Linked DNA regions of Yarrowia lipolytica. The protein of the gene in region 1 interacts with the protein of each later gene in a biochemical or structural test. Links are inferred from orthologs where the notes say so. Each region holds a gene or a part of one and is shown on either strand. Other genes may lie near its edges.

Region 1 (5,630 bases):
CACTTGCTCCATACCATGCACCATTAACGCCAGTGTGACGCTGCAATATTGGGGGTAACGGAGGCTGGAGTTGGTGGCGCAACGTATATACGAGAGCAAGAGATGGTAATCTGAAGTGAGAGCCGTACTGTTCCAGAATATGACTTGATTTTGGCGCTTGTACCTTTGACGATTGCTGTAGACTGCTCGATAGCGTGAGTTACATAAGCCTGAGTAATGAAACTAAAGGTCTGGTTGTACTGATGCAAGTGATTAGTTTGAGGTGAATCTGACGTCGGAAAAACACCGCTGATCTACTGTAGACTCATCCCATGAACTTTAGACACGGTACGATGATGTCTTTACGCTTAGCTATCTAGCTGAGATGGACCAAAGATCCAGTTAGGGATACACTACGGCATGAATCACACGGAACCAGACCCACTAACATCAGGGGAACTGGTGAATTCTCAACAAGCAGTCAAATGGCGTTCACGAGGCTTCCCAAAAACCTCTCCCAGATCATCTCCAGCTCAACCAATATCTAACAACGAAGTCAGCTAAACCTCCATATTTTTTTATATTTTTTTATATTTTTTTTATAAGAACGTGATACCTTTGTCATATCTTGCTTAACCAATACCTAACCACTATGTTAACTAAATTACCTGTATTTATTGACCCAAAAACTAGTTAATGTACCCTCCAAAACATGTCTGCATTACGGCATTTTGCTTAATTCCCTAAAATTAGTCATCACTGCCATTCTCGCCACCCAGCCACGGCTGTTACACTTCATAAACCCATCTCTTTAAGTCTCTCCAATCTTTTTTCAATGTCTCTCGAAATAGCTCTAGGTGTCGTATTGTTGTGCGCTAATTAGGGGGGTGAACAAGTCTACCAAAAGACGCAATACTCACCAGATTGAAATTTTTAAAGCTGAAATGGAACCACAAAGTTGCAATAAACACCTTTACGTCTTCAGTTTCTCAATACCACTTCTAACCTCCCCTCCAAACCCCTCCCACGAAACCTCCAGATTCCAAACGGCACAACCTAAAGATGCATACCCCATGTCTTAGTGTGGAGACACGTAGCTAAGCCATTCGCAAGCGCTTGCTGCTGAGTAAGAGAAAGACCGATAGACGGACCTTATTTATCACGTCATGAGACGCTTGGTATCTATCACGTGACCCCATACACACTCCCCACAAACACTCACACAGTTCTGTTCTCGGGTTGCATACTCCCCGTTTAATATCTCATGCAGCATCAGCATGAGGGGGCGGTTAGGATGATATAAAACCCTCTGATAAGTCCTCCAAGTGGTTATACAGGGACTTATTCGGACCACAATTACTCCCAAAGACTTTGTGTTCTCAATTGAGCTATTCTAGGGTTCTTACTAAGCCGGTTAGATCGATACGAGTGCTAGCCGTCTTTACTCCTCATGTATGTAGGTGTATTGGAGATGTCCTTGACGTGTCAGTATGTGCTCGTACTCGTATTGTGGCAAACTCTGTTGATCTCGGTGTTGGAGAGTCCCAGAAGTTGACATGGCACAAGTTCAGCAAGTCCGTATTAATGCAACAATATTGCCACTTTCGCTCTCTGCTCCTCAGCTCTAGAGACCCTCAAATTTCACTCGGACTTAACACTGTGACATTAAAGTTGTCCCAATAAAAACACCGCATAACGAGGCTATGCGTTATCACCGGTGTCACTTGCTTTACTGAACTTGGACTTGGAGTTGTTCATCTGAGCGAGGAAGGAGTCACGCAGACACAAAAGCAATCAGACACAGCGACTACGAACGAACCCGACACAGACACAGCCGCTAAAGACACAAACTCAACAACTAGTTCAGACTCCCTTCTACGATGTCTTCCAACAGAGCCGAAGTGGACCTCAACGTCAACATCAAAAAGGCGACCAACACAGACGAGTCTGCGCCCAAGCGGAAACACGTGCGAGCATGCATTGTGTACACCCATGACCACCGGTCGTCCAAGGCCTTCTGGAACGGCATTCGAATTCAGCCCCTGCAGACCGACGATGTCATGGTCTTCAAGGCCCTGATCACCATCCACAAGGTGCTTCAGGAGGGCCACCCATCGGCGCTGAGAGATGCCCAGGCCAATGTCAACTTCATCCAGTCGTTGGCTCGAGGAAACAACTACACTGGTCCTAACCAGGGCAACCATGGTTATGGCAAGCTCATCTCCGAGTATGTCCGGTTCCTCATGCAGAAGCTCACCTTCCACAAGTACCACCCGGCCTTCAACGGAATGTTTGAGTACGAGGATTACATTTCTCTGCGAACCGTTAACGACCCCAACGAGGGATACGAGGCCATTATGAACCTGATGACCCTCCAGGACGGAGTGGACGACTTCCAGCGACTTGTCTTCTCGTCGCTGCAGCGATCCCGATCCAACGAGTGCAAAATCTCGTCTCTGGTTCCCATGATTGCCGAGTCGTACGGAATCTACCGGTTCGTCATCTCCATGCTGCGAGCCATGCATGTGTCTACTGGTAACGACGAGGCTCTTGAGTCTCTCCGGCAGCGATTCTACTCGCAGCACGACCGCCTGAGAGACTTTTACTACGATTGCTCTACTCTCAAGTACCTGCGATCCATCGTGACTATCCCGCAGCTCGGCAAGAACCCTCCCAACCTGCTTGAAGAGGAGGACGGACCTGGACTCCCCCAGCGACCCAAGTCCGTGGCCGAGACCCGATCTGTGTCTCCAGAGCCCGCTCCCTTGCCTGTGGCGACCCCTACGCCCTCTATTCCTGCTGAGGCTCAGCCGATTGAGAACTTTTGGTCCCAGGACGCGCTGCTCGCCCAGCAACAGTACGACGCCGAGCAGGAGCGGCTACGGCAGCAACAGGCCATGGAGGAGGAGCGCATCCGGCAGATGCAGATGCAGCAGCAGCAGCAGTTTGAAATGCAGCAGCGACAGCAGATGGAAGCGCAACAGCGGGCTCAGGAACAACTAATGGCCGACCAGATGGCCCGACATGCCCAGGGTCGAATGGCCGAGCTTGAGCGAGACATTCTGGCTCTCCGAGGTCAGTACGATCAGGATCAGCTCATGCTGGAGCAGTACGATGGTCGAGTAAAGGCTCTGGAGGCTGAGCTGAATCAGCTGCAGCAGACTGCTCATCAGAGCGCCCAGGCCAAGGATGATCTGATTGAATCTCTTCAGCAGCAGATCACCATGTGGCGGCAAAAGTACGAGACTCTGGCCAAACGGTACTCGTCCATGCGAGAGGAATATCTTGCCTTGCTCAAGAAGCTCAAGGCTACCCAACAGAAGGCTGCGTCAGCTAAGGAAGCCATTGAGAAGGCTGAGAAGCTGGAGCGAGACATGCGACACAAGAACATTGAGCTTGCTGATCTCATCAAGGAGCGAGATCGAGCTCGATATGATCTTGACCGTGCCAAGGGTGGCAACAAGGAGGACGTGGAGCGTCTGGAACGAGAGCTTCGAATGGCCCAGGACAAGCTGGCCGATAAGGACCGATCTACCGGTGCTGATCTGTCTCTTCTTTTGTCGAAGCATAACCGAGAGCTTTCAGAGCTTGAGAATGCTTTGAAGATGAAGCAGCGGGCTCTGGACGAGCGAGGAGATGACTCTGATCTGTTGAGACGACTGGAAGAGAAGGAGATTGAGTACGAGGCTCTCAACGAAGCCTTCAACTCGCTGGCTCTGCACCAGGAGCAGCAGGGCAACAACAGCAACGGTGGATCCACTCCCCTGGCTGCTTTGCATTCTATCATTGATGCTCTTCTAGAGTCCGGTTCCCAGCGTGTTCAGGACGCTCTCTTCGAGCTCGAGTCGCCTATGCAGGCCGGTAACCAGAACTCGACTCCCGAGTATCTCTTGTCTGTCATCGAGAAGGCGTCCGAGTCTGCTTCCGCCTTTGCCACGTCGTTCAACAACTTCTTGGCCGACGAAACCGATGGCGACTACGCCGAGATCATCAAGACCGTCAACATCTACTCTACTGCTGTGGAGAATGTTCTGTCCAACTCCAAGGGTCTCACTCGTCTGGCCAAGGACGATGCTTCTGCCGACGCCCTTGTCAACTTTGCTCGTGAGTCTGCCGAGGCCACAGAGCGAAACTTTATTGGTCTTCTGTCTGAGATCATTGAGGATTTCCCTCTGGATGACAAGATGGAGCGGGTCATCACTCTCAACATGAACGTGCAGACTGCTCTTCAGCACCTCACCAAGCTGGCCGAGCGAATGGCCCCCAAGACCAACATCAACATGTCTGGTGATCTGGGCGACCTCGTTGAGCGAGAGATGGCCAAGGCTGCTGATGCCATTGCTGCTGCTTCTGCTAAGCTTGGCGATCTGCTCAAGTTTAACCAGTCCGACCCTCTCAAGTCGACCACCGACCTGCAGCTGCACGAGGCTGCCATCCAGGCTGCCCAGGCCGTCATCAACGCCATTGCTGCGCTGATTCGAGCTGCCACCGATGCCCAGAACGAGATTGTAGCCCAGGGACGAGGTACTTCTTCTCGAGCACAGTTCTACAAGAAGAACAACAAGTGGACCGAGGGTCTTATTTCCGCGGCCAAGAGTGTAGCTGCATCGACCAACATTCTCATCGAGAAGGCCGACGGCACTCTCCGACGAACCTCTGGTCTCGAGGAGCTCATTGTGGCTTCCAACAACGTCGCTGCTTCCACTGCTCAGCTGGTTGCTGCCTCTCGAGTAAAGGCTACCTTCATGTCCAAGACCCAGGACAAGCTGGAAGAGTGTTCAAAGGTGGTTACTTCCGCCTGCCGAAACCTAAGCAGGTGCAGGAAATTCTCAACAAGAAGTTTGGCGAGCTGGACGAAAAGGTAGACTACGCTGCCCTCTCCAAGCACGAGTTCAAGACGACCGAAATGGAACAGCAGGTCGAGATTCTCAAGCTCGAAAACGATCTGCAGGGCGCCCGAAAGCGACTTGGACAGATGCGAAAGGTCGCCTACCTGCATCAGGACGAGGAGGAGTCCATTCCTGGCCAGGAGGACTAAGCTACGCGCGGCTGATGTATGTATAACATGTATGGTAAATGAATGAAATGATATTTTTAGTGATCGAATGATGAAGAAGGCTCTGCGATGCTTTACTCGTTACATGACAACTGTCCAATGCGACAGTTCTATGTTACTATGACACACACTATTTATTACGATGCAAATTATGTTGACATGCATGAGACAAACCCCACTGTAACCACTTTATTAGAAATGCTAAGGGCTCTCAGGGAAGCTGCACTCATCAATGGACCCGGGACTAGTCATGGGTGAAGGTATGAACCTAGTTGATCCATCATCAGGGGAATCCGTCTTGGGCTCTCTGAACCGACGATTGGTGAACCATTGTGTAACCTGATGAAGTGAGATTCCACAATGCTCTCCAATAATTCTCCTCTCTGTTCTGGTTGGATGAGAACAGATCTTGAACAGAGAGTCAAGATAGGCGGTAACCTCGTTACTTAACCTATTCCGGACTTTCTTAGGAAAGACGTCACAGTTGTGATCCAGACTCTGCAACTTGTCAGCTTCTTTTAGAGCTCTGGCTTTGACTTCGAGGTCTTTGGTGCTGGCCTCATAGGCCTCTGATTTCGCCTCTATGTCTTTGTCT
Region 2 (3,362 bases), on another chromosome or scaffold:
TCCATCAATTTACTGTTCACCACAACCACTGGATGTTTGCCTATTCTGAGTGCATCCAAAACAGATCCAGTTCCTGCATGCGAAATAACCAAATGTGCCCTCGACATTTCACCTGCGAGATCATCGGTGTACTCAAACCCCGTTATCGACATGACGCCTTCCTTGTGATGTTTTGTGAAGATATGGCGATTGCCCCGTCCGTATTGAACGCGCATTTTGGAGAATCCCAGCTGGGAAAGCGTAGTAATGGATTCATGTGAGAGTACCAGCTCGATGAGAGCCTCAAACGGCACCGTTCCACCTGTTGTTACCAAGACCAGCATGGTGGTGTAGATGTTGAGGATGATGAATACGACACTACAGTCCCAGTTGTACAACTTACTCAATGCACTGCTTTCATGCATGACCGATTGAGGTCCAGGACGACTAGGATTGGCACACTGTTAGGTGGGATATTCCAAACGACTGTGACAGAAATCATGTCTGCTACTGGGCTGATTCTACATCTTTTAAAGCCGAAAAACGCGTACTCTGGCTGCATCTGCTTTTGTGCTGAATTTGAGTGTAGAGTTCGTTCGATTTACGTGTCAGTATACATGGACAAGTTGACACGGCTATTAAGATGCCAGAACTTGTGTGTGGCAGTAGCTACAAGTAGTGTACTAGTACAGCACCTCAAAAGCACATAATGTGACACTTCAACCAACACAAATTACTAATTGTTACTTCATTAAATCATTATCTTATCATACATTTAGTAACCAGCGGCACCAGGGGCGTCGACGTCACCCTTGAGAGACAGAAGAATCTCTCGGAATCGAGTCTTGTCTCGAGAACCCTCCTTGGTTCCGGTGTCAGAGTCATCAATCAGCTTCAGAGCTCGGTCCCAGGTGGTGCCAGAGGAAGAGGAAGTATCATCTATGCTTGCAAGGAACTCCTTGGCGGCCTCCTGAGTGGACTTGACGCCCTCATCACGCTTGGAGTTGTAGTTCTCGTAAAAGTCGTCAATGGCCTTCTGGGCCTTCTCAATGGTCTCCTTTCGCTTAGCCTCGGCCTGCTGGTCTCGTCGCTCAATCTCCAGCTGCTGTCGCTCCTTCCACTCCTTGATAGCGGTGGACTCGGACAGGTTCAGGCTCTTGACGGAGGTCTCAAGGCCATCGACGGGAGAGGAATCCTCGGTAGCCTCAGCAGTAACAACGTTGCCGGTGGTAGCCTGTGTCTCCTCCTCGAGGGCGGGGAAGTCCTCCTTGAATGCGTTCTCGGTGAGATCGTTCTCCTCGTCCTCCAGGGAAGGGAACGACTTCTTGAAGTCATCCTCGTCGGCGTGGGTGTCCTTGATGTCGACATCGACTTCGACATCCTGAGGGAGATCGTCAATATCTTCGAGAGCGGGGAATTTGTCAGCCATTGTTGATGTGTGTGACGTTGCGTTATTTGGGTGATGAATCTTGGGAGGTGATGATGTGGAGCTTATTGACGTCACGTGTCATGAAAGTCTAAAATGTTGATAAGGTGGCTGTGGTTGTGCGAGGAGGAAAATCACGTATGGAAGTGAATTGTTTTTGTTTTTTTTGAAATTAATCCGATCAATGCGACCAATTCATTATCCCTACATTTCCAGTAGCCCCACACAATCTCTGGAGCCCCCGTTCTGACTGTACTCAGGCACAGTCAATGACCAGCCTTCTTTGGATTACTGTACGTACAAAATGTACAGTAGTCCCAATGGCAACATCGTACAAATATTTGTTGAAATTGTACTTTAATTAGTTGGTCAGACAAGGACTATGCAGAACAACGTAAATAAGTTACGAAAGGCCTAAAAACCGACTTGCAGTTTGCTGCAATTCTCCAGAACAATCATTTTAGCGACCGCTTTTACTGTCTGGAGACAACCAGAAAAGCGACACACCTGTTTTTACACCGTAACCGACAACAGGAACGTTACTGACACACACACACACACACACAGATCCACAGGGGCTTTTAGCAAGCATCATCACTTCATATCTCATCCTATTCAACACAACACCACATGTCTTTCTCAGTGGACTCTTTCATGTCGAAGCTGTCGGCACTCAATGAGACCCAGGACTCAATTGTCTCGGTGTCTCAATGGATCCAGTTCCACCGACGAGCTTGCGGACCCATCGCACAGACCTGGTACGACTACATTCGAAACATTCCTCTCAAGCGAAAACTGGCTATGATCTACCTCGCTAACGATGTGGTCCAGCAGGCCAAGGCCAAGAAGAGAGACGAATTCATCGAGGCGTTTTCCACTGTCATTGTGGACGGAATAGTATCCACCTACCGCGAGGGCAACACCGATCTCCGGAACAAAATCAAGCGAGTGGTGGAGGTCTGGGAACAGCGACAGGTCTTCAGACCCGACGTAATCGAGGAGATCAATAGCAAGACAAGACAGCTTGACAGCAGCGAAGGGCCCACCGGATCAGATGCCCTTGGAGGCAGTTCAATTGGAGGTACAGGACTCGGAGGCATTGGTGGATCGGGACTTGGCGGTCTAGGGGGAATTGGGGGATCTGGCTTAGGAGGAATCGGAGGCTCAGGTCTTGGAGGAATCGGAGGGTCCGGATTGGGTGGCATTGGAGGAACTGGCTTTGCAGATCTGGGTGGCTCAACGGCAGCACCGTCAGTTCGATCCGAGTTGCAGGAGCTCAACACTCTGCTCGGAAAGGTGACTAAAACTACGACCGTCACTGAGACCAAGAGCAAGCTTGAGTCCAGTCAGAAGTCACGGGATTCGCAAGCTCTTGCTACTCTTCTTGAAACAGTAAACAAGACTATCACAGACATTTCTGCCAACCAGAAGCTGCGCAGCGAGATTGATAGTGCTCTGCTGACTCTCAAGAACAAGCAGGCGTCTCTCCTTGAAGAGGATAAACACAACATGACTATGTTCGAGAAGATGAAGAAGGAAATCCAAGATGCTCAAAAGGAGGTCTCCAGTCTTGTTCAAGATACTAACGGTGCGTCAGTTGAGCAGGCTCATCCTGAGGAGGAAGAGAACGACGATTACGTTCCTCAACCCGCTTCGGAACCTGCTCCAAGCGAGCCTGAGTCTACAAAGCTGCCATTCTCAATCGCAGACGAGGAGGATGAGTCAGACTCTTACGAGCCCCTTCCAGCTGTGGTTACTGCTGGTGAGTCGGGGTATGTGGCTCAGCCTCTTCCCAGCAACGATTTTTCTGTGCCTCAATACGAAGACGACTCTGATTCCGATGCCGACTCCGATGCTCCTGACTCCAAAAAGAGAAAGTTGGAGGGTGAGGAGTGAATAATCCAAACAGGACACAAGCACAAATGTAACATACAAACCAATTCTAATATAGCTACTT

What was found.
Region 2: the proteins of YALI1_C09923g (region 1) and YALI1_E39385g form a complex in vitro, tested with the Saccharomyces cerevisiae proteins (2 studies listed by BioGRID). The link is inferred for Yarrowia lipolytica from reciprocal best matches to the Saccharomyces cerevisiae genes SLA2 and CLC1.

Annotation. Positions count from the first base shown.
Region 1 is NC_090772.1:988,614-994,243, reverse strand, and holds YALI1_C09923g (uncharacterized protein), read left to right. Parts: upstream 1-1,859; coding exon 1,860-4,844; downstream 4,845-5,630. Other genes in the region: YALI1_C09885g (uncharacterized protein), read right to left, coding at 5,237-5,630. UniProt on the Saccharomyces cerevisiae protein: Required for cellular morphogenesis and polarization of the cortical cytoskeleton. It might act in concert with proteins such as CDC42 and CDC43 to limit the region of cortical patch formation to the cortex of the bud.
Region 2 is NC_090774.1:3,936,531-3,939,892, reverse strand, and holds YALI1_E39385g (uncharacterized protein), read right to left. Parts: upstream 1,409-3,362; coding exon 755-1,408; downstream 1-754. Other genes in the region: YALI1_E39395g (uncharacterized protein), read right to left, coding at 1-404; YALI1_E39378g (uncharacterized protein), read left to right, coding at 2,036-3,301. UniProt on the Saccharomyces cerevisiae protein: Clathrin is the major protein of the polyhedral coat of coated pits and vesicles. In yeast, it is involved in the retention of proteins in an intracellular membrane compartment, presumably the trans-Golgi. The yeast light chain is important for cell growth.